Linked DNA regions of Daphnia pulex. Each later gene encodes a partner of the first gene's protein in a complex. Links are inferred from orthologs where the notes say so. Each region holds a gene or a part of one and is shown on either strand. Other genes may lie near its edges.

Region 1 (10,676 bases):
TGCCCCATTAAGAACACCACGATCCCAGAATGATTTGTTTCCAGTGGGATCTTCGTCCACGTCATCGGATGTCCTAGATGGCAACCGCAACTAGCAAGAAATAAGAAACTATTAGAATGGGATAATTTACACAACACACTATCTTCAAGGGTCTACAGTTCTCAGTAACGAGTTGTAATCATAAGATTCAGTAGTCTAACATGTTAAAACATCATAGAAGGAAGAAGTGCCTGCAGAGAATCTAAAATATCTTACCACTGAAATGTTGCCGAATTTATCAGCTACCGCAACAGTGTCATAATCCAAAAGACACATGGTGGTGACATAACGAGGGTGTGTATCGTCGGCAAAGATGATCAGTTGATTCTCCATACGCTTGTAGCGGACGAAGTGGATACTTTCCTGAACATCGGCCACATACACACGCTGACCGAGGGCTTGAATGTTGACGACACAGCTTGGTAAATGTTTGTTCTCACATTTTCGCAGCAACTTCTTTTTTCCCATATCATATAACCTCAACAATCGCCCAACTCCAATCAAAACTCGACCCTGGTAGGCGCAGATGGCGTAGGGAGTGTCCTCAACAGGAGTTTTGTGAACAAATTCAAGCGCCGACCACTCATTTATCAATCTAAATTTAAAAAATCACAACCAATTAGTTTGAGGTATAAAAGCACTCATCTCAATAGTTGGGAGTTCATTTCAGAACTGCAGAACGTTTTCTTCCTTTTGATCAGAAATTGCTCTTATCATCACTAGATACAAAAATGCCAATATATAAAATCGAAGGAACTCACTTGTATGTATAGATGAACCCTCCATCACATTGTTTGGGATTTAGCTTCAAATCCTTTGCAACCCCAACAAGAACGAAATAATCTTCTGGGTCCTGATTCATAAACCGCGCCAATCCGATACTCAGGGCAGCCTCGTTCTGTGGCAATCGAATTGTGTGCAAAGAATTGCCGCTAGTAGGGTCCATAATGCGGACGATCGAAGCCCACATACCAGCACCAGCTTTCGGAGCTCCAAACTCACTTTCAGGTAAATCTTCATTGAGGAAAGCGTCGGCCATTTGATGAGCCAACTCCTGTTCTTCTTCCGTCGCAGCATCCCTCATCTCTTGAGCTATTTGCTGTCTCCTCTCAAGCTTGGTCTCTAGCGTATAAGCATTGTGATCGGTTTCAATAATAATCATGCGCCCGGAATCGTGTACGACGAATTTTCGAGGCGTATACTCCAATGGATATGAGACTTGATTGAAGACGGCACCCAACTTCTCCAACGCCAAAATACGAAGTGTGTTGGAAGCAATGGCGACGACTCCTTCGGGACACTGTTCGGATGCGAAACCAGATGCAAATTCCAACGAATCATAAGACAATGGAGCGAGATGGAAACGATTCTGAAAGTAGTAGCTCAGCCAGGTACGCGAAGATATGGCTAACACGGCTTCGTGATTTTGTGTCATGACGCGGAAAAGTTTAACTGGTCTGGAACCTAGGTACCGAGTTCTCGTATCAGCCAAATCCCCCGTTACAGGATCCAACACCGTTCTCAATAAAACACCATTCTGAAGACCAATGTTGAGGAAAAGCTGTCCTGAAGTCCCAGTTGTTTCGGAATCTTTATCGTGACCACCCATTTCAACAATACACAAGGATTCTGGAGTGGCTGGTAACGCTTGCATACTCAAGGGTGTAAGACAGTCCTGTAATGTCAAAAATCAAGACATTAAGAAAAGAAAACTGCGTACACCACATTACTTGAAAAGACTAATCATCAGTAATGAACGAGAAGGGGTTAATTTCAGAAGTACCTTAAGATACTTCAAAACTCTAGCCTAAGTTCTCATCATGAAAGTGGGGAAATCGCGCAATAAATAACAACTTACATTGGGATCTAATGAGATGACGCGGACAGTATTATCTGCGAGGCCAACAGCTAAGAAACGTGATCTCTGTTCACCAGACGGGACATTAGCCAAAGCCATGCATACAACTTCGGCAGTCATCTCCTTCCGCTCCGTATATTCGTTTAATTGACCGGTCTAAATATATTTAAAAATAGTAATATAATAGAGGAAAAATTTACACAATCACAAGGACTTACCGGATCCATCTCGAAGTACACCAATTCCCCGCCAGCTAGAGAAATGACAACCTGGCGCTGATTAACTGCACACCGAGATATAGCTCGTTTACCAGGGGATTTCCATTCGTTGATCCTTCTGTCTGCCCTTATGTGTCGAATTCCTTCAGGATAAACCTGTTAAGATAGTTATGGTCTATGATATTACTGGATAGGAGTATTTTGCAAAATTTTATTACCTGGAGCAATGCATTATCACCCAGCGAGGAACACCCTAGAGTAGGCGTCGTGCCCAAAAACCCTGAGTCTGTCACCTCTTCAACAGTTTCACCGATGGACAACACAAGTGTGGCATTCACGAATGACACAACAATGTAAGCATCAAACTCGTCTGTGAAGAAAAATAAAAGAAATTTAATAACCCCTCCATAATAATGAAAAGGACTCATGGGGGATAGATAAAAAAAAGGGAGTGTACAGCTGAGTAAGTGAACTGAAGCATTACTCCACTAGGTTCCAGGGAAGATCAAGGCTAACCTGAAAACAGTAAAAAAGACTGGCGTTTGAACTATGGTCCAACCACCAGTCGCTCACGTGCGCGCACAATGTGACACGCCCGCTGAGCACAACACAAATTAAAATTACCGTCGGCACGTTTTCTGACAGTCCACACTGCATTGGGGTTACCGGGAAGTTCAGAAACAGCCATCTCCGATACTTCCAATCCATGACGGAGAACACGAAGAGACGAACGAGAACTTCTACCACAAAGTGCATACAACTGGGGTGTATCCTCATTGGCTGTAAATTGAAAACAAATGTTAAAAACCTTTCAAAACAGGAGGAATTATCAAACCTACCGAGATCAGCAATATGGCAGGCCAGAACTGGAGATAAAGACTCCATCTCGTCCACGAGAACAAGATTCTTCAAAGGTCTCGGAGCAAAGAAGAAAGTATCTCCTTCCTCCAATGGTATAGTAGAGCTGAATTCGGGTTCATCGTCATCATCCCCCAAATGAGCAATCTGGTAAAGATAACTAATAACACAAGGAAAATTAATACACTTGAAAACCCATAAAACTACTTCAAATTTTGTAACCGAAATCAGAGTCAAAAATTATAATCAAAGTGTTATCTCAGGTGAAACACGGATGACAATACACATCATTTCAGCAAATAGAAAAAAAAATTTAAGAAAACTAACTGATTTCCAAATTCCGATGCGACGAATAGAAAGCCTGTCTTCAACACACACATGCTGGACGAAACTGGAACGGTATCAAAGTACTTGATTTTCAATTCTCTCACCACCTCTTCATCCATATCCATGGTGATCTTGAAAATATCGCCCTGCTCCGTTTGGACAAGGAAGAAAAACATGGCCTTGGTGCGATGGGAAGCCGAGCAGACGAAAATCATGCCCCTTTCCGGATCATCCAAGTCATTCTACAGAGAAAAAACTTATTACTACCGTCCTCAATACATGGAATAAATAACTTATCGGAGGTTCGTTCCAGGACAGCATGCAATATGCGCATTACAATCCAACGATGCAAACATCTCCAAGTATAGTTTAGGCACTAGTCGACCAGCACGTGTATAGAACACGGCTGGAGATACCGCGCGCCAAATAACATAATGAAATGATCAAACGTACCCTTCTTCTGGGGATTGGGCAACGAATGTCATGCTGTTCACCCAAATTCTTATATGTGATGTAGTTCTCGGAGCAAACCAGAACTCCGGAAGGTCCGTCGTTTCCTCCAGGAACAGTGATGAGGAAATTGGCGTGCTCATCCAACGGCTCACTATTAAAGTAAAGATATGTTCATCAAAATATTTCTTACATTGTCACACATAAGTCAACAATGTTACACACTATGATAGATAATGTCCCCCTTATGTATAGCTGCAATCTTTAAGTGACAAGAGAGCAGTAAAGTTAAGGGGTTTTGAAACCCAACCAGGCAAAACCAAAATCACCAAGATTTGTTACGCACCTATATTTCCTAACGACGTGGTTTAAACCCAGATCGAGTTCGTAGAATGTAAGCGTTTGTTGCGTCTTCTGTGCCGCCTCGCCTGTTGGATCACCATCGGCCTCTTCATAATCCATCTCCAAACAAGCAAATACAGGGTTTTCAAATCCCACGTCAACACCCACTATGTTGTAAACTAGAGTGTTTGACTTGTGAGCCTCCAGCGGAGAAGAAATGGTTAAATGGGCTTGGGCATCCCTGTTCAGAATGTAGACCAGTTTTTGCTTCTCAATAGCACCTGCAATGCAAAAAAAAAACATAAATGTTAAAGCAATGCGCACTCTCAAGCCACAAGATTTCGATTTTAAAAAATTCTCAGTAAAAACGTTAGATATCAGCATTATCTTTCTCAGATGGGGAAAGAAGACATAAAAACGTAACTCATCACTTGCAAGAATTTAAATTAAAAACGGATCAAAACTTACTGATCATAACAGCTCTGCCTTTGGGATCAATTGCCATGTACTGTCCAGGAACAATCCGACGACAACCGCTTTTGCCGTACGTTTCTTGGTGCACCTTATCAAACACATTTTTGGCAGCATTGTATTCAAGAATGACAATTCGCCCAGAGTCTGATCCGACCACAAGGTAATCTAAATACAGAATTAATGAAAGTTAGCAGGATGTATGTTTTAAAAATTATATTTGCACAACTCACCCTTATTTCCTCCAGTAAGCCTGAAACTAATGATTGACCTGATGATTCCAAAAACCTCTTGACTGAGAAGTGTGTGTACTTTGCCAGTGTTGGGATCCGGCTTCACAATTTCGAGTACCTTTCCACGAGCAATGACAATCTCCTGTTGCTTGGTGCCACTGAAGTTGCCCTGGACTGCCTGAATGATGCCAGTGGCACGCTGCAGAGTCAGATTGTAAAGATACATTTTCTTTCAAGTTGACGTGTCCAATGTGTAACTTGAACTGCCTAGATGAGCATCACCTGCGAAAATGTTATCAGATATAATTCTTACATTTGTCCAACATGTTTAATGACAATGTTACACACCATTTGAAAATTAATGTCCCCCTCATGTATAGCCACCAAACTTAATTCACAGAAAGGCGGTAAAGTTGTAAGGGGTTTTCTTTTCTTTAATAGCTAGACGAGTACGCGAAAGAAACTACAGCCCCGGCATCTCACCCGGCAAGGTTTTCAAATTGACATGCTTCAATATTTTAAACATCGCCAAAAACACACATTTAACCATCAAAATAACTGCTTTTCAACTATCTGGAACTAAAATGTGTAGTCAAACTTGAATTTACCTGTGGATGTTACAGATTTTCCATGATGGAAAATTCAGCAAAGGTTGAGTGAAATCTCTCTTGGCTCCGGCGTCGCGCTCGAGTTTAGGGTTCGACTTCTCGTGCATTGTGTGATAGGCAATATTTTTGAACATCTGACATCGACTCTCTACTTGGTCTATCCCTAAACACAGCATTTTCAATGCATTTGCGCTTTCTTTATCACAAGATTTTTTAAATTATTATTATTATTTATAGAACGATTTCATAATGCATTATACAATAAAATTGTGAAATTAATAAAAAATTTCAGTGGTGATAATCAAGAATGATTTATTCACAGCTGTTTTTATTACTCATAAAGTAATTCAAAAGACGTGTTCATATTCCGATCCCTTGCTATGCGCGCGAGTTTCTCTCTAGAACCACCATGCAGCCACGCTTTGAATAGACAAGTTCGGGATGCTGAGTTGCACAACCGCAAAATTAGGATCGTGCGCCAACGAGTTTTTGTAACGTTGTGGGGATAGTAGAAAGCGGGTTTTTTATTATTTAAGCATAGAATTACTTATCTAATCTTAGAAATGTTCAGGATTATCGTTGTTTAGAACATTCTGCTTTTTATAGAGTAATTTTAAATGTATAATTCAGCTTAGTTTACCCATTCAAATTAAAGAAAGTCCAAGCCTGGGATGCTGTTTAGTCTTTTCTTGTGTGTTTGAGCTTGTCACTTGTCAGCAGATCTGTCAAAAAACACAAGAAAAGACTAAACAGCATCCCAGGCTTGGACTTTCTTTAATTTTAATGGGTAAACTAAGCTGAATTATACATTTAAAATTACTCTATAAAAAGCAGAATGTTCTAAACAACGATAATCCTGAACATTTCTAAGATTAGATAAGTAATTCTATGCTTAAATAATAAAAAACCCGCTTTCTACTATCCCCACAACGTTACAAAAACTCGTTGGCGCACGATCCTAATTTTGCGGTTGTGCAACTCAGCATCCCGAACTTGTCTATCTTTTAAAATTTCTTATTCAAAAATTTTTATTTGCGGTGCGGTAAGGAATAACGAATAAGGGTGTTGAAGCACTTATCTTTTTTTTTCAATTCATAATGTACCGTTGAATTCATTTCGAGTCATTCAATTCATATTGACTGAAACAATCGAGTTCCCGAACTTTACCGATTAACTCGTCCTCTGTCGCCAGTGATGGAATGTGGAACGGCTTGCAGTCGGAAATCAACTCTTGACTTTTGATGTTTCCTATTAAGAACAAGTTTAGAGGTTTGAAAAAAAACGAAACTAGAAAAAACGAAGAATTTGATGTTGTCCTTGCATTCTTTGGAACAGCCTTTATTGCAGCATCTTCCAAAAGATAGCCGCAGCGAAATTCTTCGACGTTTGGAATTTAACATCGTCGACTTGTTGTTGTTGTATACGCGATATCAGCAGTCGGTAGTTTTGGGCCAACTTTCGTCGTCGTCGGGAACAGCATGAGATTATAGTTTTCTACACTGTCATAAATGCGTTGAGATAAGGCGCTGCTGGGCGCGGTATGAAATCCCCTTGTTCCGTAATATAACATGCTGCAACCGCTATAAGCCATGTACGCGCATTCGTGGTTTTTATCTGATGTACAGTAGAACAAGTTCTAACTTTCCATATGCCATCTTATTAAGGTTATCCTCTCTGACTATACAGAAACAAATCAACCTCAATAGGGATTTTTTAGAGCTACATAGTCACAGTGACGAACGCGACGGTATTAGCCAATGTGTTTGAATCCGGCGATTAATAGTCCGCTCGATTGGAAACCGTGAAATCGTTTCCGAAATTATGCAGGCAATCAATGCTCTGCTGCACTATCGAGAGCTTTTTTCTTTTGGCCGAATGTATATATCGCAGCACTCGAATTCGCATTTCGAACGCGGGTTTCGCCCCGGTCTATTGCCTTTTGATCGTGAAACTGGCAGCTGTTTCAGCGCGCAATTCAGGAACACGCCTCTCGATGTTATTTCGTTTGCCAAGAAAGAAATTCACGCACAGCACACACATAAGAGATTGAATCATCGGATATAAATATTTATTATCTTTCGCGAATCCACTTGGTCCCGCGACGGGTCAACATCTCGCGTTCCACAACTAACGTTACATATAAACATCCGAAAATGGTTGGACTCGAGCCACACAGACATATTCCGCGTTTAAAAAAATCTATCAACCGGGAATTTCGAAAGCAGAAGACGGCAGAAGAAGAAGAAACTCTGTGCTGGGGTCGTCTTGTTCTCATCTCATTATCCAATTTTTGTTGAACGCCAAGCAAGAAAAGATAAGAAGCGGTGAAATAAAATATCTGAAATGAAAATCAGTTTCATTTCATTGCGGCTTAGTCTGTAGCTATAGTACACTTTAATCCGCGCAACTGCTGCTGGTAGGGATATTCATTGTTGGCGTAATCAAGTTGATTGTCGACAAGAGGCGGATTTTCCAATTGATTTACGAGCGATGACGGGAGGAGAGTGAAGAAATTTCCCCCAGCGCGCCGCCCAGCCAAAAGGATGATCGCTTACATGAATATGAGGTTGCGTCAGATTTTTAATAAGAAGATATCGATCAATGGCGGGGCAGACAGAAACTCTTTTAAGAGGGTCCATCACTCGTCTGCCGTTCTTCACCACCCACAAGGTTACATCAGAATCAAAACGATATAGGAAACGTATATTCAAGACCGGGGTCGGTCATATTATCATCAAAAGGCCCAAAAAAAAAAACGAGAAACTGTCGGTTAGGTTCTTCATTTCCCGCTGTGACTGGAAGAAGTGAAAAAGCCTCGTGAGTTCAAAACAGATGAGACGACGATGTCCCGTGCTGCGGCAGTCCCGAGAAGAAGAAGAAGAAGAAGAAGAAGAATCAATGTGTTTAGATGTATAAAAAGGAAAACAAAAAGGCCAGCCAAACGGATGAGATGGGAATAGATTTTGATTTCAAGGTTCTGGAAGGAAAAACTCGTTGCTGCGTGCGTTTAACATTCCTCGGCTGTCACACATGTCAGCATTTTTCCCCCCGCGACCAAAATTCATAGATATAGAAAATGATGGGGGGTCGTATATAATAATCATAATAAGTGAACTGGCCAGTGAATAAAATCACGTCGGCACACGACGACGACCGAACCCTATAGTAGTAGTAGTCAAAGCGGGCCAGCGCATGCAGCACAGCACACACGGAAGATTGATTTCAACTCACAGCCCTTTTTAGCTCTCGTTATTTTGTCTTTTTCTTTTCTCCTATACGGATCGCTGGATGGATAGATAGATAGACCGCCGGACTTTTGTGTATCATTATAAGGCAGCGCCTTTGTCCCGTATGACCAAAAATATATATATCCATCCAATGCTGGTGCAGGTGGTTGTTTCCAATGGAAATAACCGAAGCCGAAGAAGAAGAATGTTTCATTCAAACTTGGCAAGATCGATGCGGCAATCGTCACTGCTCCGCTGCGTATTACAATCACAAAAACTTCTTCTCTTTTTTTAAATGTTGAATAACGAACAACCAAAAAGAAAATAATAATTCATCCGAAAAGGAGGAGCCCCCTGCGAAAGAAAAGAGTGAAAATAAGAGTATAGAGTTCACGTATAGACACACACACACACAAAACTGGTGTACATGGAACCCGCCCCAGCCGCTGCTGGGTTGATAAGAGCGACGGGTCGTCCCTCCTAGGGTCTCAGTCGACTCCTAGTGGTCAAAGGGCCAGGTTCGCCTTTTTCTCTACGCTCCTACCATCTTTTTTCAACTTTTGTCGAGAGAGATTTCCGGTCTTGAAAAACCAGCACATACCTGTGGGGCGTGTGTGTGTGTGTGTGGCAGCTATTATAACTAAATGTGAACTGCTTTTTCGTTTACCTCCCGTCCACCAACCACTTGCGTCACATTTATTCGGGTCGTCGTGACAGTCGTTGATTAAGTGCTGAGAGTGCGCCTTGCGTCAACCGTGTGAGAGTTCATTAATGCCGGCTGACTTGACTAGAACTAATCTAACGTCCGCTATTTGTGGCTGAGCTTCCGCAAAGTTCCGTCCGTGTCGTGAAAACACAATCAGAGAGACCCGACGATTTATTAAGACGTCAACACCTTGGAAAAACTTCAAAGAATGAACGGTATGGGCCGCCAGTCAATTATTCTAGCTGCTTTTATTTTCGAAACTTTTTTTATTATGTGGGAAAACACACACACACGAAAAAAAAGAGGGGAAACAGCAACAACTTTGTCGTCCGTGTAGAAATAAGAAAAAGTTGTTAGTTCGTGTTTCCTGTCTATTACCAGAAGCTATTTCCTCGGCGTTGTTTAATTATTCATTCCGTCACCACACACGGATCATTACCTCTCTATCACAGCCCACCCGTTCTCACTCTTTCCCCCTTATAGCTCTCTGGGCATATTAGTGACGCTTTACCCATTTTCTCTTTTTTTATTTTTCCTATATTTATGAAAATCCCCCATTTCCTATTTTATTCTTTCCCATTTTTTTTTAGCTTTTTTTGAAATTGACAATTTCGTGCGTGGACATAACACTTTGTTGGTTTCCGATTCGTCTGGCCGATTATTCGTTCATATATTTATTATTAGATTTTTTATTTTTTCGTTATTCAAATATAAGAAAAAACAACTTTTGATTTTCAATATTGCGGCGCTTTTTTTTATAGTAGAGTCGTCTAGACCCACGTTGACAGGATTGATCCGAACCACCCAGCGGCATATTTCCAAATCGAAAAAAAAAAAGAAAAGAAAATGTTAACTCGTTCGTGTATAACCTATACGTGAACAGCAAACAACAACCAATCTAAGACTGCAGTGGTACCGTTCTGTGTGTGTTTCCATTCGTTCGTCTTGCAGCAGGAATGCCCATTTTTTTTTCTTTTGTGTGTTGGATATTTTTATACACACACACATAACAGGACGAGACTGGGTGGTGGGTGGGTGGGGATACGTGGAATATTATTGTTCTATATCCTATCGTGCGACGTCTGCGTGTCACTGCCGCCGGAGCGCACACAAAAGTTTATATTTACACCGAGGGCCTATAAATACGACCGAGATAGATCCTGCCATTTTTATTTTCTTCTTCTTTCTCTCTCTCTCTTTCTCTGCCGGAATATTATATATAAGGATGCGATCAAGTTATACGTCTATAACCCTAAGAAATAAAAAGAAAAAATAATGGTTAAAAAGGGAGCGCAAAGATCGTAAAAGAATATTCCGGTGGGCTCGCGCTCATCTGCTC
Region 2 (10,727 bases), on another chromosome or scaffold:
AATTCCATCACAGGAGTAACTAGGAATAGGATAACGTTTTGGAATTAAGTATGAAAATGTAAATTGTGGTTTAACATCATGAGTCATTACTGTAATGATTAGCACAAATTTTCCATGTTCTATCTCTCCTCATTAAAACTCTTGCAGTATTCTGTTTCAGATGACACAAAATCTTAATTTCCCCTGTGCCTCGTTCTTTCCACTGATGAGGATCTTCTGAGGTATCATACCTGTATAGCTTGGCACGTCTGGAAATAAATTAACTTAGGTTACATGCAAAATATAAATTCAACAAATAAACCATCATACAGTTTCACTAGATCCTCTTCATCTTCTTCCATGGAATATATGTGCACTTCTGGAAGATGAATAATTGGTTCAAAATATGGATCATGTTCCTCATGCTCTTCATTTTCAACATCATCTTTGTGGTCTTTATTGTTTTGGATTTCTACCTGAGTAAAAAAGACAAATCTAAACATATTGTGCAGTCATACATTGTTAATTCATTATTATTTACTTACAGATGTATCAGTCATTTTCATGTAAAATAAAGAGGGGAATGCAGTGAATTCAAAAATCCTCTTTACAATTCTATTTTAAGCAATGATCGAGGTGTCGATAGCGACGTTAGAGTTTCGAAGAAATACTGAACTTAAACCAGTTTTTTTTGTTGAGCCCCTTCAGTTTTTATTCTCTTTCTTTTCTTTTAAAGGCGCTAGGGCGAATGTCAAGTAGATCTGCAGTTGTACCAATTGTATATTTAAAAAAAAAATCATCTTCTCTCCAGAGTCACCAGACAGACTCCAGATGCAGTTATATTAGTGGTTATAGCATAGGCCATGGACCATGGTTATTAATATAGTATTTTTTATTTTAAGTCAGGCGAAAAGGGTTAAAATTTTATATATTTTTTACATGTTAATATGAAGTTTGTTGTTATGAAATAAAAATATTACCCAATCATAACATCCAGTGCAATTTATTTTTTTTATGATGTAAATAAATCATCTCCAACCCCCAACCCCTAACCCTAAAACAGAACAAAACCGACAAAACAAAAAAATATAAAAATATCGACAGTGGAACACCATGGTAAAATCTTGTATTGACTCACTGCATTTTCTGAGACGATGGAAAAGACGGTACGGTACTACCAAGAAGATTCAAACTTTGTATCTACCAGTTTTAGAACCTTGATAGGAGGTAGAACTGGCCAATCGAAGCATTTCTTCCTTTAGAATACGGACAATTTCTTTTCGTGCTTTTGAAACTGCCATTTCACTCGTGCTCTCGATGGCTAAATATAATTTTCTCTCTTCGTCAGCGATCTTCTTTCCCGGTGCGCAATATGTTCCTCGGACAAAAACGCCAGCTTCTGAAAATTCGCTTACCTGGGCCAAAGCCTCCTGAAAAAATAAAAGATGATATAAAAAAAAAACGCTACAGTCATTAACCGTATTCGTAAGCTAACCCTAGACGTGATTTTCCAGCGAACAGGTTGTGGGAAGTCGTTAATTTCTAACTCTTCCTCGAACTTCTGAATGACGTCCGAGCTAGATGGAGTATTTTCTCCGCCTTCTTCTACTGATCCTTCCATAGGTTCTTCACTTTCAACAGGGGCATAATTGAGTCGTGTATTGAGTTTTGCCGCCAACTGCTCTGCAACATTTCTAGCCTGATTGAAAAAACAAGATTGAGTTTTGAAATCCGAATTCATATTGAAATATTTTGCATATTTACCGAAATTGCTCCTATGGATGTTTCGGGAATGGCTGGAACGGGACCAGTCGATTGCTTGGCAAGATTAATCCTTGAAGCTAACCGTTTGGCCAATTCCAGCTTGTCGGTAGCCGTTTTGCTTGGAATGCTCGCGGCAACAGAACCGCCACCCCCAGACACCAGTGTTGAAGCTTGAACTTCACGCACAATACGTTTTGCAGCCATTAAAGTTTCGATTTGTTCATCCAAATCATTTTCTATATCTTCTTCATCTGAATCTTGCAGACCTGAATAATAATAAAAAAATTAATATACTCAGCCGAAATGCACACCAAAACCAACTCTTAATATACCCAAAGCGGCTTTCTGGAATTTTTTCTTTTCTGACACAGCCATAGCTTCAGATTCATCAAATTTGAACCCTTTACCAGAAAATCCACCACCTCCTGAGCGGACAGTTTTCCCTTCCTAAGAAAGAAAGAAAGAAACAAATTATTTGATTGAAAGGGTTTTTAATCTTCTGCTAAATTTACCGCAGCAAGCTTGGATTTGTATTGGTCCCAAAGAGTTTGTAATTCAACTGGCACTGGCGTTTCAGATTGTTCCATTGCTTTAATAATATCCCCTGCAGCCCTTTGCTGATCTGGAGTAATAAAAGTGTAGGCAAATCCTTTATTGCCTGCTCTTCCGGTGCGTCCACATCTATGAATGTAGTCTTCATGGTGGTTGGGGCAATCGTAGTTGACGACCAAAATAAGGTGCTTCACATCTAAACCACGAGCGGCAACAGATGTGGCAATCTGATCAAACAAAAGTATAGAAAACGGCGAACATCAAGCAAAATCTTTTTAAAATTTTCTATTACCATCAATTTGATTTTTCCATTTTTGAAGTCAACTACAGCTGAATCACGATCGTACTGATCAATACCACCATGAAGGGAAATGCAATCGTATCCAGCTTTCATCAAATCTTTGAGCAGGTCATCAGCACTTTCTTGTTTCTCAACAAATACAAGAACACTTCCTTGTTCCTGATAAACCCCCAATAACTCTAAAAGCTACCAAAATAAATTAGTTTATAAACAAAAATTCATTGTTAATTTAAGAAAAAAGCTAACTTTCAAAAATTTTTGTTCGTCTTCCATAACAAGAACATGCTGTTCGACGTCAGCACAAACAACGCTACGACCTCCAACCGTGATTTCAACAGGTTTGTTTAGGATTCTACGAGCCAAGGCCTCCATTTGACGGGGAAATGTAGCACTAAACATAACAGTTTGTCGATCAGGGCGAGTGTTATCAATGATTCGCATTACCTATATAAAAGGAATAAATATTTCTAGTCACCCGACGAAGTATTACTATCTTGCTTACTTGTGGCTCAAAACCCATGTCGAACATGCGATCAGCTTCATCCAAAACTATGTAAGTCACACGCCGCAAATTGGTGACACGTCCTATTTCAAAGACTAAAATTAAGACACTTTTTTAATAGTTAATCTATAGGTAAATTTTACCGTTGTTGGCAGCTAACATATCAATCATTCTTCCGGGTGTGCACACAATAATTTCAGCGCCACGTTTTAGTTCAGCTATTTGCTCTGATATTCCCGTTCCTCCGTAGACCGTCACCACACGCAAATTCAATGACTTGGTGAATCTTTTACATTCTTTGCCGATTTGTAAGCACAATTCTCGGGTAGGAGACATTATGATAGCTAAAACAGTGGAATATTTATGAAGGTAAAATAATAATAATAATAAAAAAAAATAAAATAAATACATCGATGATATTAAACACTACGTACCGATTGGCCCATCAGTCTCTTCTAATGCAGGCTGGTCTAAAATATGCCTAAACATAGGCAGCAAAAATGCCAGTGTTTTGCCACTGCCAGTTTTGGCAATACCTATTATGTCCCTGCCTATATATTTTAATAATAGTATTTTTTAAAATTTATACAACAAAAAAGTGTTCGTTGTTGTGTACCAGACATGATTGCAGGGATTGTCTGCGTTTGAATGGGGGTTGGTTTTTCATATGCTAATTTTTTTAGAATTTCCATTTCCTTTTTACTAACACCACATTGTGCCCATGCTTTTATAGGTCTCGGACACCCTTTTCCTTTAACTTTAATGCCTTCAAGTTCCTATATGTTAAACAATTTTTTTTTAACGTCCTGGGGCACTAGCAATTGTATCAGTCATACACACCTGTCGGTATTCATCTACTTCTTCTTGGGTCATACGTGCTATGTCGGGTACTTCCACGTAAAAGTTCTTCCGGAAAGGAAAATAGTTGATTTTGTTGTGATCAATTTTAAAAACTTTTTCTTTCTGTTTTATGTTGCTATTCGCCAGTCCGGACATTGCTGATGCCAAGTCTTCTGACTCTTCTTCTGAGGAATATTCCAAAGCGTCCTGATTTTGTTCCACAAGCTCACCTTTCTTTTTAGCAGCTTTCTTTGCTACTCCGGTCATTACCATCACGCCAGATCCTTTTGATTTTTGAACGTCAAGTTTCTGAACCTTTCGAACTTCACTTTGAATGTCCTATTTTTTTTTTTTAAATTAAATAGATGTTGATTTAAAAATACTAGTGTAAGCAGTAAGGTACGAATCCATGTCGATTCGGCAAAACCAAATCGGCACATGTAGATATTCTGAAGTACCTGCATAAAAGCATCTAAAGGGTCAACTTCTTCCTCTGCTTCTTGAACTTCAATTTCTTCGTTGATCGTTTCAATTGCTTCAACTTTAGCAGATTCAGTTTTCAATTTTCCATCTTCCTCTTCCTCTTCTTCATCATCTTCAAGTGACCATTTTTTCCCAGCTCTTTGATTGGCTGTTTAAAAGGATGGCAATATTATGAAGTATATAAGACAGTCAGTTTTTTTAAAAAGTTATTTCTAGATTATTACCTAGATCAGATTTAACTTGAGCAATTTCCTGCATCTTTCGTTCTAAACGCCATTTTTCTATTCGTTCTCGGCGTTTCTGCATTTCCAAGTCCAAAGTTTTCTGCTCCTCTTCCTATATGCAAGAAAAGAGACAAACAAACAATGTACACCCTTTCAAAATATTAAAAAATAGAACAACTTACTTTGGCAATCATGGCTGCAACAGCTGCTTCCTCCTTTAGCTCTGATTCAGATTTCAAAACAGGTTTAATTTCTTCGACTAAAGTTGGTTTTCTATCAGGGGATTTTGAAATTCTTCGTTCTGAAGTTGTTGTTGATCTTTTAGATTTATCATGATCTCTATCTTTTGATCTGCTTCTTCTCCTGGAAAATGTTACAAAAAGGTAGTTTTTACTTCTTAACATGGATCAGACTATCTTTTGTAAACATGAAAAATTAATTACTTGTCACGCTCCCTGTCCCGATCTCTATCTCTTTCACGTTCCCTGTCTCTTTGCCTGTGTTCCCCATCTCTATCTCGTTCTCGAAGTTTTTTAGAACGAGGACTACTGGATCTGCTTCGGCTTCTGGATCGTTTATTATGCCTAGCGTAGATGAGAAATGTAAATAAAATAATAATATTAAGCAATGAAAAACTGTAAACAAAAAATTTACATAATCTATATCGTTATTATAATCTGCATATTATTTTACTTAATAAATGAATTAATAAGTTAAATAAAAATAACAATTATACTTGTGTCCGTCACGAGCCATCGAAAAGACGTTTAATTTCGGAATACTTAATAAATTTTGCAATGAAATGAGTTAAATACAAAATGCACATGAGTGCGTCAATTTTGATACACAGATACAGGCAACATTGCCATGTTTAAAATGAATTTTACTTCAAACAAATTGAAATTGCCAACTGCTAGCTCAGGGCTCTGCTCAGGCTACTAGCTGCTGCTAGCTTTTTGCAAAATGAACTTTGTCCTGTCCTGTCTTTTCCATATCCATGTTTATAAATAATATCTAGATTTTGAAAATGCAAGGGAAATTTCTTCTCCCGGCTATTCAGATTTTTGTCCTACACACCAGAGGGTTTTCAAAATCGGCCGGTAGATGGCTTGCAAAATGAAGTGGGATGATTACGAAAATCGTTAGAAAATGGCGGAAAATTTTCCAGATTTTAAATCCCTTATATCTCTGCCAATAAAGCTTAGATAAAAAACGGGGCAAGACGTCTGTGGAAAGGGGCAAAATCTTCTGAAAAATCCGTTTTTTAAACGGCCTGGTTCACCCGAAAACTGATGTAAAAAACCCGAAAAAACGCTACAATTTCTGGTGGGCCCTCATAGTTTTTCGTGAAGAATTCAAAACTATAACAACAAAAAACAGTAAAATTCCGATAAAATGGTTTATTTGGGGATGTACTGCGATGCCTTGTCACCAATTCCCCAAAAATGATAAGCCCCCCAGACCCCCAAATCCGGCCTCCTTGACTGGTGGACTCGATGTTAGAAGTATAATGGTTGCAACCCAGAAAAGAAAGAAATAATTGTCTGTAGACCTCCTTGGCAGAGTAGTAGATAATGGTGTAGCCACTAGGACAGGAGGCCTTCCATTTCCTTTTTCCCTAAAAGTGTTTCTAGCTTTCCACTTCCCAGCTCTTAAAATTAGCGCCACAGCAGGTGTGGTGGGAAATGGGGAATGGTTTTGCCGAAGGTTTCGCTCGGTAGCAAGAGGCGTTGGTGATAGAGGATAAACATAGATACCTAAGCTCAGTTTTCACTATCGAGTCGTGATGTTCGCTGCAGCTCTAGGAAAAATTTCCGAGAGGAGGAGTTAACATGGTAGTGGGTACACCATTATCTATTACTCTGTCCTTGGAGTAATGGAAGCCAAAACCACGATATAATAGGAAAGGTACAGTATCCTTCAAAAAAATCCGAACGGCGATTTTTTTTCAAATAGCCACCTATCCATATGGCGGGGAACTGGGTTTGGTTTATAGGCCGAATTTGGGGGGGTAAGGAACAAAGCGAAAGGTGGGAAGAAAGAAAAAGGAGTAATTAGCCATTGGCCATGTCTCCCCCCTCCCCCCCCAAAAAGAAATACGAATGAAATCAGACAGGCTGTCTGGAATTTTCATGGCGCGAAAAGTTTATTTAACCGACTTAAACTCATTGCCGATTATTAAACAAATGACTTAAGGCGATTCCTTTGAACTTTCCCGCTTTTTAATGCTAGATTTGGTAGCTTCTGGTTTTCTCGTCACTTGTCGAAAAAATGACAGTGAGCCTGCGGCTATTCCAACCAGCCTGTCTGGTTTTGTTTCACACTTTTTATTTCGGAGGGGGAGGGTTTCTTTCTTCCCACCTTTCGCTTCGTTCTTTACCCCCAAAATTCAGCCTATTAACCAAACCCAGTTTCCCGCATTATGGATAGGTGGCTATTTAAATAAAAATCGCCGTTCGGATTTTTTTGAAGGATACTGTACACTCTCGGCTATCCCCAAGACCGGCGGGTGTTTAGTAAAGGATCTCAAAATTCCCCGCCAGGTTCGCTATAGGTTAGGAGGCCCCTCGCCTCTCGGAGGTATAGCAAAAATAGAGGTTTTTCGTTCTTAATATAGAAAGTTACGAATCTAATTCATCTAGATTAGTCAATTTTATATATGTTAAATTCGTGATTGAAATTCACATTTTTTTGAAATTTGCGCCAAAAAAATCAAATCAAATTTTATTACTGATTTTAGTTTATTCTATTTTAAAATATTAAACATGAATTTATAATATTAAAAATGAATTTTCTTAATTCATTAACAAAGAAATTACACGGTTTTTTATTTGTGTTTATGTTAAAGGGATAGTTCTTCTTTCTATTAGAAGCAATCGCATTCTCTAATTTTTTGGCAAGCTATCTTCCATTTGTTATTGAAGTTTTCTCTTTTTTTGGTGTTTTTCCCCCATAACAATTATAAAAATTCATCATTATATATATAAACCGTCATTCTACGTCGAATGCGATAGGTCGCGTCGTGATCGGTGGATCACGATAGCGTTAAAGTCCCAAAAACCGTCTTCGTTTTTCCCCGCCCAATTCCCCAGGGACCTTTCATGGTTAATAGTATTTGGAGGACTGTCGGAAAAATCTCGGCCTTAAAAGGCGGTAAGCCTTCGGCTTTTTAAAATAAGAATTTTAAAAACCTCTCAGGGAAAATTTTGGCAACGTTGCAAAAACTATCGGCGATTATCGCACCGATACTTTTTTTATTAGTTTCGTCGTTCGATAGTCAGGAACGCTCCGCCAAAATGAGGGGCGGACGGTGGAGAAAATATCCACTCGATATTATGAGCGCCCAGCTCGTTGGCGATGGCCGTTTGATTAATACGATCCAGTCTGATTTTCAGTTCTTTTTCACCAGCTTTAAGGTTAGTGCCGTTGTCTGAATATATCAGGTCTGGCCGAATTCTTCTGCGCGTGAACCTCGAAAATGCCAAAAGGAACCAGGAAGTGTCTAGGTGATTCGCCATGTCGAAGTGCACAGATATGCTCACCAAGCACGTATAGATTATTCCCCACCTCTTTTCCGTTCGTCGGTCGACAGTCGTCATGATTGGCCCGAAGTAATATATTCCTGTGTTGGAAAATGTGGATCGGTCGTCTTCAAGCCTGTGGATTGGAAGAGCGCGATTGGAATGTCCAGTTTTGCACGGAAACGCCGGCAATCAAAACTTTTCTTGAGGATGCGGTAGATTTACGATCTGCATCGCGGGATCTAATATTTTCATGTAGTTCTGTAACAGTTCTCTCGACCGTCACGTGCCTAAGGAAAATATACTACCTATTTACGATTAATTTAGTTACAAGGTGGTCCGCTGATAATGACAGCGAATGCTTGATGGCCAGTGGAAAGTTACTGGAGCCCAGTTGTCATCCTACGCGGATCGAGTTTGCTTCTGCATAGAAGAAAGGGGTTAGTGTGATGATATTTGAACCTGATTCCAACTTTTTTTCTTCACTGAGTCCTTTGAATTCCCTTCCGTACTCTTCACGCTGGGCGAGGCGGACAAGAATTGTGATGTATTGAATGCGATCACAGATGGCGCACGAAAGGCTCACGCCAGAAGGCCAGGGGGTGAACGGCATTCGAGCCAAGAGTAGAGTGGAGGAAGGTCTTGTTCCCGTCTTGTGTATTTCATACGCCTTGTGTACTTCGAATACAGTGCTTAACGCAGACATAACAAGAATCATTTCGGCTTCTACAAGAATCTTTTAGCCGGCATATACTGTAGCTTGGCTGAATTATGAGAAGAAGCGGATGAGTTGTAGGAGCGGAAATATTTCCGGCCCATTTCGAAGAGTTGATTTCAGGTCATTGACTGGCTGGAAGAAATATTTTGGCATTGCTGGTCAGCTCACCCGGGACTGAAGAAGAAAATCTGGGCCAGCCCACAATTAATAATTTTCCGTCAAGACGGACGCCTCAACACCACGGCTGTAGTCGTCGGTGGGGTTTCGACTTGTGACAAGTGCCCGGCACATATAACCACTGCTATGGAATCGCGATGGTAAGAATTTCGCCGACTCAGTTGGCCACCATGGTGTGGTCGGGTGTGGTACCAAAAATTGCGTCATGTTAATCCAACGCAGTACAGTAGAAGAGTCCAACCAAAATATTTCGCTATCTATTTTCAACCGGAGCTCGGACTTCATGGTTCGGGCCAGACGGGAACCAAGCAGGGTGGCCATTCTTCTATCCGTGGCTCTACACTTGAACATCACAAACATGGTAGAGTTGCTTTTCTTATTTTGCAACAACAGGTAAGCCAGAGGCGCCGTAATCCAATTCACTGGCGTCTACGAACACGTGAAGTTAGATGAGCGTTGGAGAGAAGGGTAGAAAACACCTCGCACAGTCACGAACTCAAGATGATGCAGATCGGAGACCCAGTAAGGCACTTCTATCGGAATGACGGACGCGGACTTTAAAAATTAAAAACCATGGTTGAGCTGTCATCTTCACTAAGCTCAACTGTGATCTCTCCTAATCCAGCAGCATTCAATTCAATGACCTTCGTTGCTGTTGGCTTAGGCTTGCTAATCAGGTCAAAATTTTTTGAAACCACAGTTAACACCTTAAAAAATAGTTCAGGTTCGAATTCTCCATCTAATAAAACAGAAAATCTATGACAAATTTTCTAATCTTTTTTTAGTCATATTTTTTACCGTCAATAGCGCGCGGTCACCGAGTATTCGCAAGAAAGGCAGTCTGTCTCTCCATGCTGGAGCTTGATCTATTATGTCGTCTAGTAGTAGGTCTGCCTACTAAATTTATAAGTGCAAAAGATAGAAAAATTACATTTTTTAATTAATAACATGCAGAAAACGGGGGGGGGCATATTATAAGACGAATAATTAAATAAAAACGAATTCTGAAACAAAAAAATGGCATAACAATATAAATGCCATAAATGGATGACAATAATTTTAAGATTTGATGGTGTATTTAAGTCAGTTACCTGTAGATGATCTTGTGTACCGTCGACTATATGGTTCGGTCCCAGTGGTTTCTCGTGGCATTGGACTAGCCTCGCTTACTTGCGCTTGCAGAACGCGCACTTGCGCTGATAACTGCTCCAAAATTTGCTGGTTCTCTAAGGAACTCATTTTGCACGCACGTGTCAAAATGTAAATGAAGACTGGTCTCAAAAATTCTGCTGTTAGACTTTTTAAAGTCTGCTAGTCTGCAAAAGTATGGGCGGTAACATAAAATTTAAGACTACTAGATATTCCCGAGTTGATGGGCATTTATAAGTTCATTAAACTCTATAGCCCTGCCCTGCCCTCTGAACCTGCGCCATACAGCACATGTAAGCAAGGTCATAAGAATATATAATGAGCCAAAAGTCAATAACCTGAATTCAAAGTCAATAACCGGCGGATTGAGCCGGGACCGTTTTCCTATTGTCGATTTTGGATTTCACAAAAGGAAATTCTTTCTTCGCTCCGGGGAGTTTTCGAATTTGTTGAGAATTCATTTCCGTTTTGGAAATTCGTAGGTTAATACGTAAATTCAGAATGCATCATGAGAATT

What was found. The genes of interacting proteins can lie anywhere in the genome.
Region 2: splicing factor 3B subunit 3-like (region 1) and probable ATP-dependent RNA helicase DDX46 share a complex: the UniProt entries of both Homo sapiens proteins name them as parts of the 17S U2 SnRNP complex. The link is inferred for Daphnia pulex from reciprocal best matches to the Homo sapiens genes SF3B3 and DDX46.

Annotation. Positions count from the first base shown.
Region 1 is NC_060019.1:9,344,772-9,355,447, reverse strand, and holds the start of splicing factor 3B subunit 3-like, read right to left. Parts: upstream 5,560-10,676; 5' UTR 5,405-5,559; intron 5,079-5,404; 5' UTR 5,023-5,078; coding exon 4,797-5,022; intron 4,732-4,796; coding exon 4,561-4,731; intron 4,374-4,560; coding exon 4,097-4,373; intron 3,905-4,096; coding exon 3,754-3,904; intron 3,543-3,753; coding exon 3,301-3,542; intron 3,134-3,300; coding exon 2,955-3,133; intron 2,896-2,954; coding exon 2,740-2,895; intron 2,486-2,739; coding exon 2,334-2,485; intron 2,272-2,333; coding exon 2,116-2,271; intron 2,054-2,115; coding exon 1,898-2,053; intron 1,715-1,897; coding exon 801-1,714; intron 635-800; coding exon 256-634; intron 91-255; coding exon 1-90. Other genes in the region: protein APCDD1-like, read left to right, coding at 9,546-9,552. UniProt on the Homo sapiens protein: Component of the 17S U2 SnRNP complex of the spliceosome, a large ribonucleoprotein complex that removes introns from transcribed pre-mRNAs.
Region 2 is NC_060028.1:6,104,982-6,115,708, reverse strand, and holds probable ATP-dependent RNA helicase DDX46, read right to left. Parts: upstream 5,581-10,727; 5' UTR 5,402-5,580; coding exon 5,382-5,401; intron 5,230-5,381; coding exon 5,089-5,229; intron 5,009-5,088; coding exon 4,828-5,008; intron 4,758-4,827; coding exon 4,646-4,757; intron 4,570-4,645; coding exon 4,397-4,569; intron 4,278-4,396; coding exon 3,939-4,277; intron 3,875-3,938; coding exon 3,715-3,874; intron 3,650-3,714; coding exon 3,533-3,649; intron 3,443-3,532; coding exon 3,242-3,442; intron 3,182-3,241; coding exon 3,099-3,181; intron 3,041-3,098; coding exon 2,843-3,040; intron 2,783-2,842; coding exon 2,588-2,782; intron 2,523-2,587; coding exon 2,256-2,522; intron 2,191-2,255; coding exon 2,076-2,190; intron 2,010-2,075; coding exon 1,744-2,009; intron 1,679-1,743; coding exon 1,475-1,678; intron 1,410-1,474; coding exon 1,167-1,409; 3' UTR 1,089-1,166; downstream 1-1,088. Other genes in the region: ran-specific GTPase-activating protein-like, read right to left, coding at 1-19, 91-248, 310-455, 525-545. UniProt on the Homo sapiens protein: Component of the 17S U2 SnRNP complex of the spliceosome, a large ribonucleoprotein complex that removes introns from transcribed pre-mRNAs.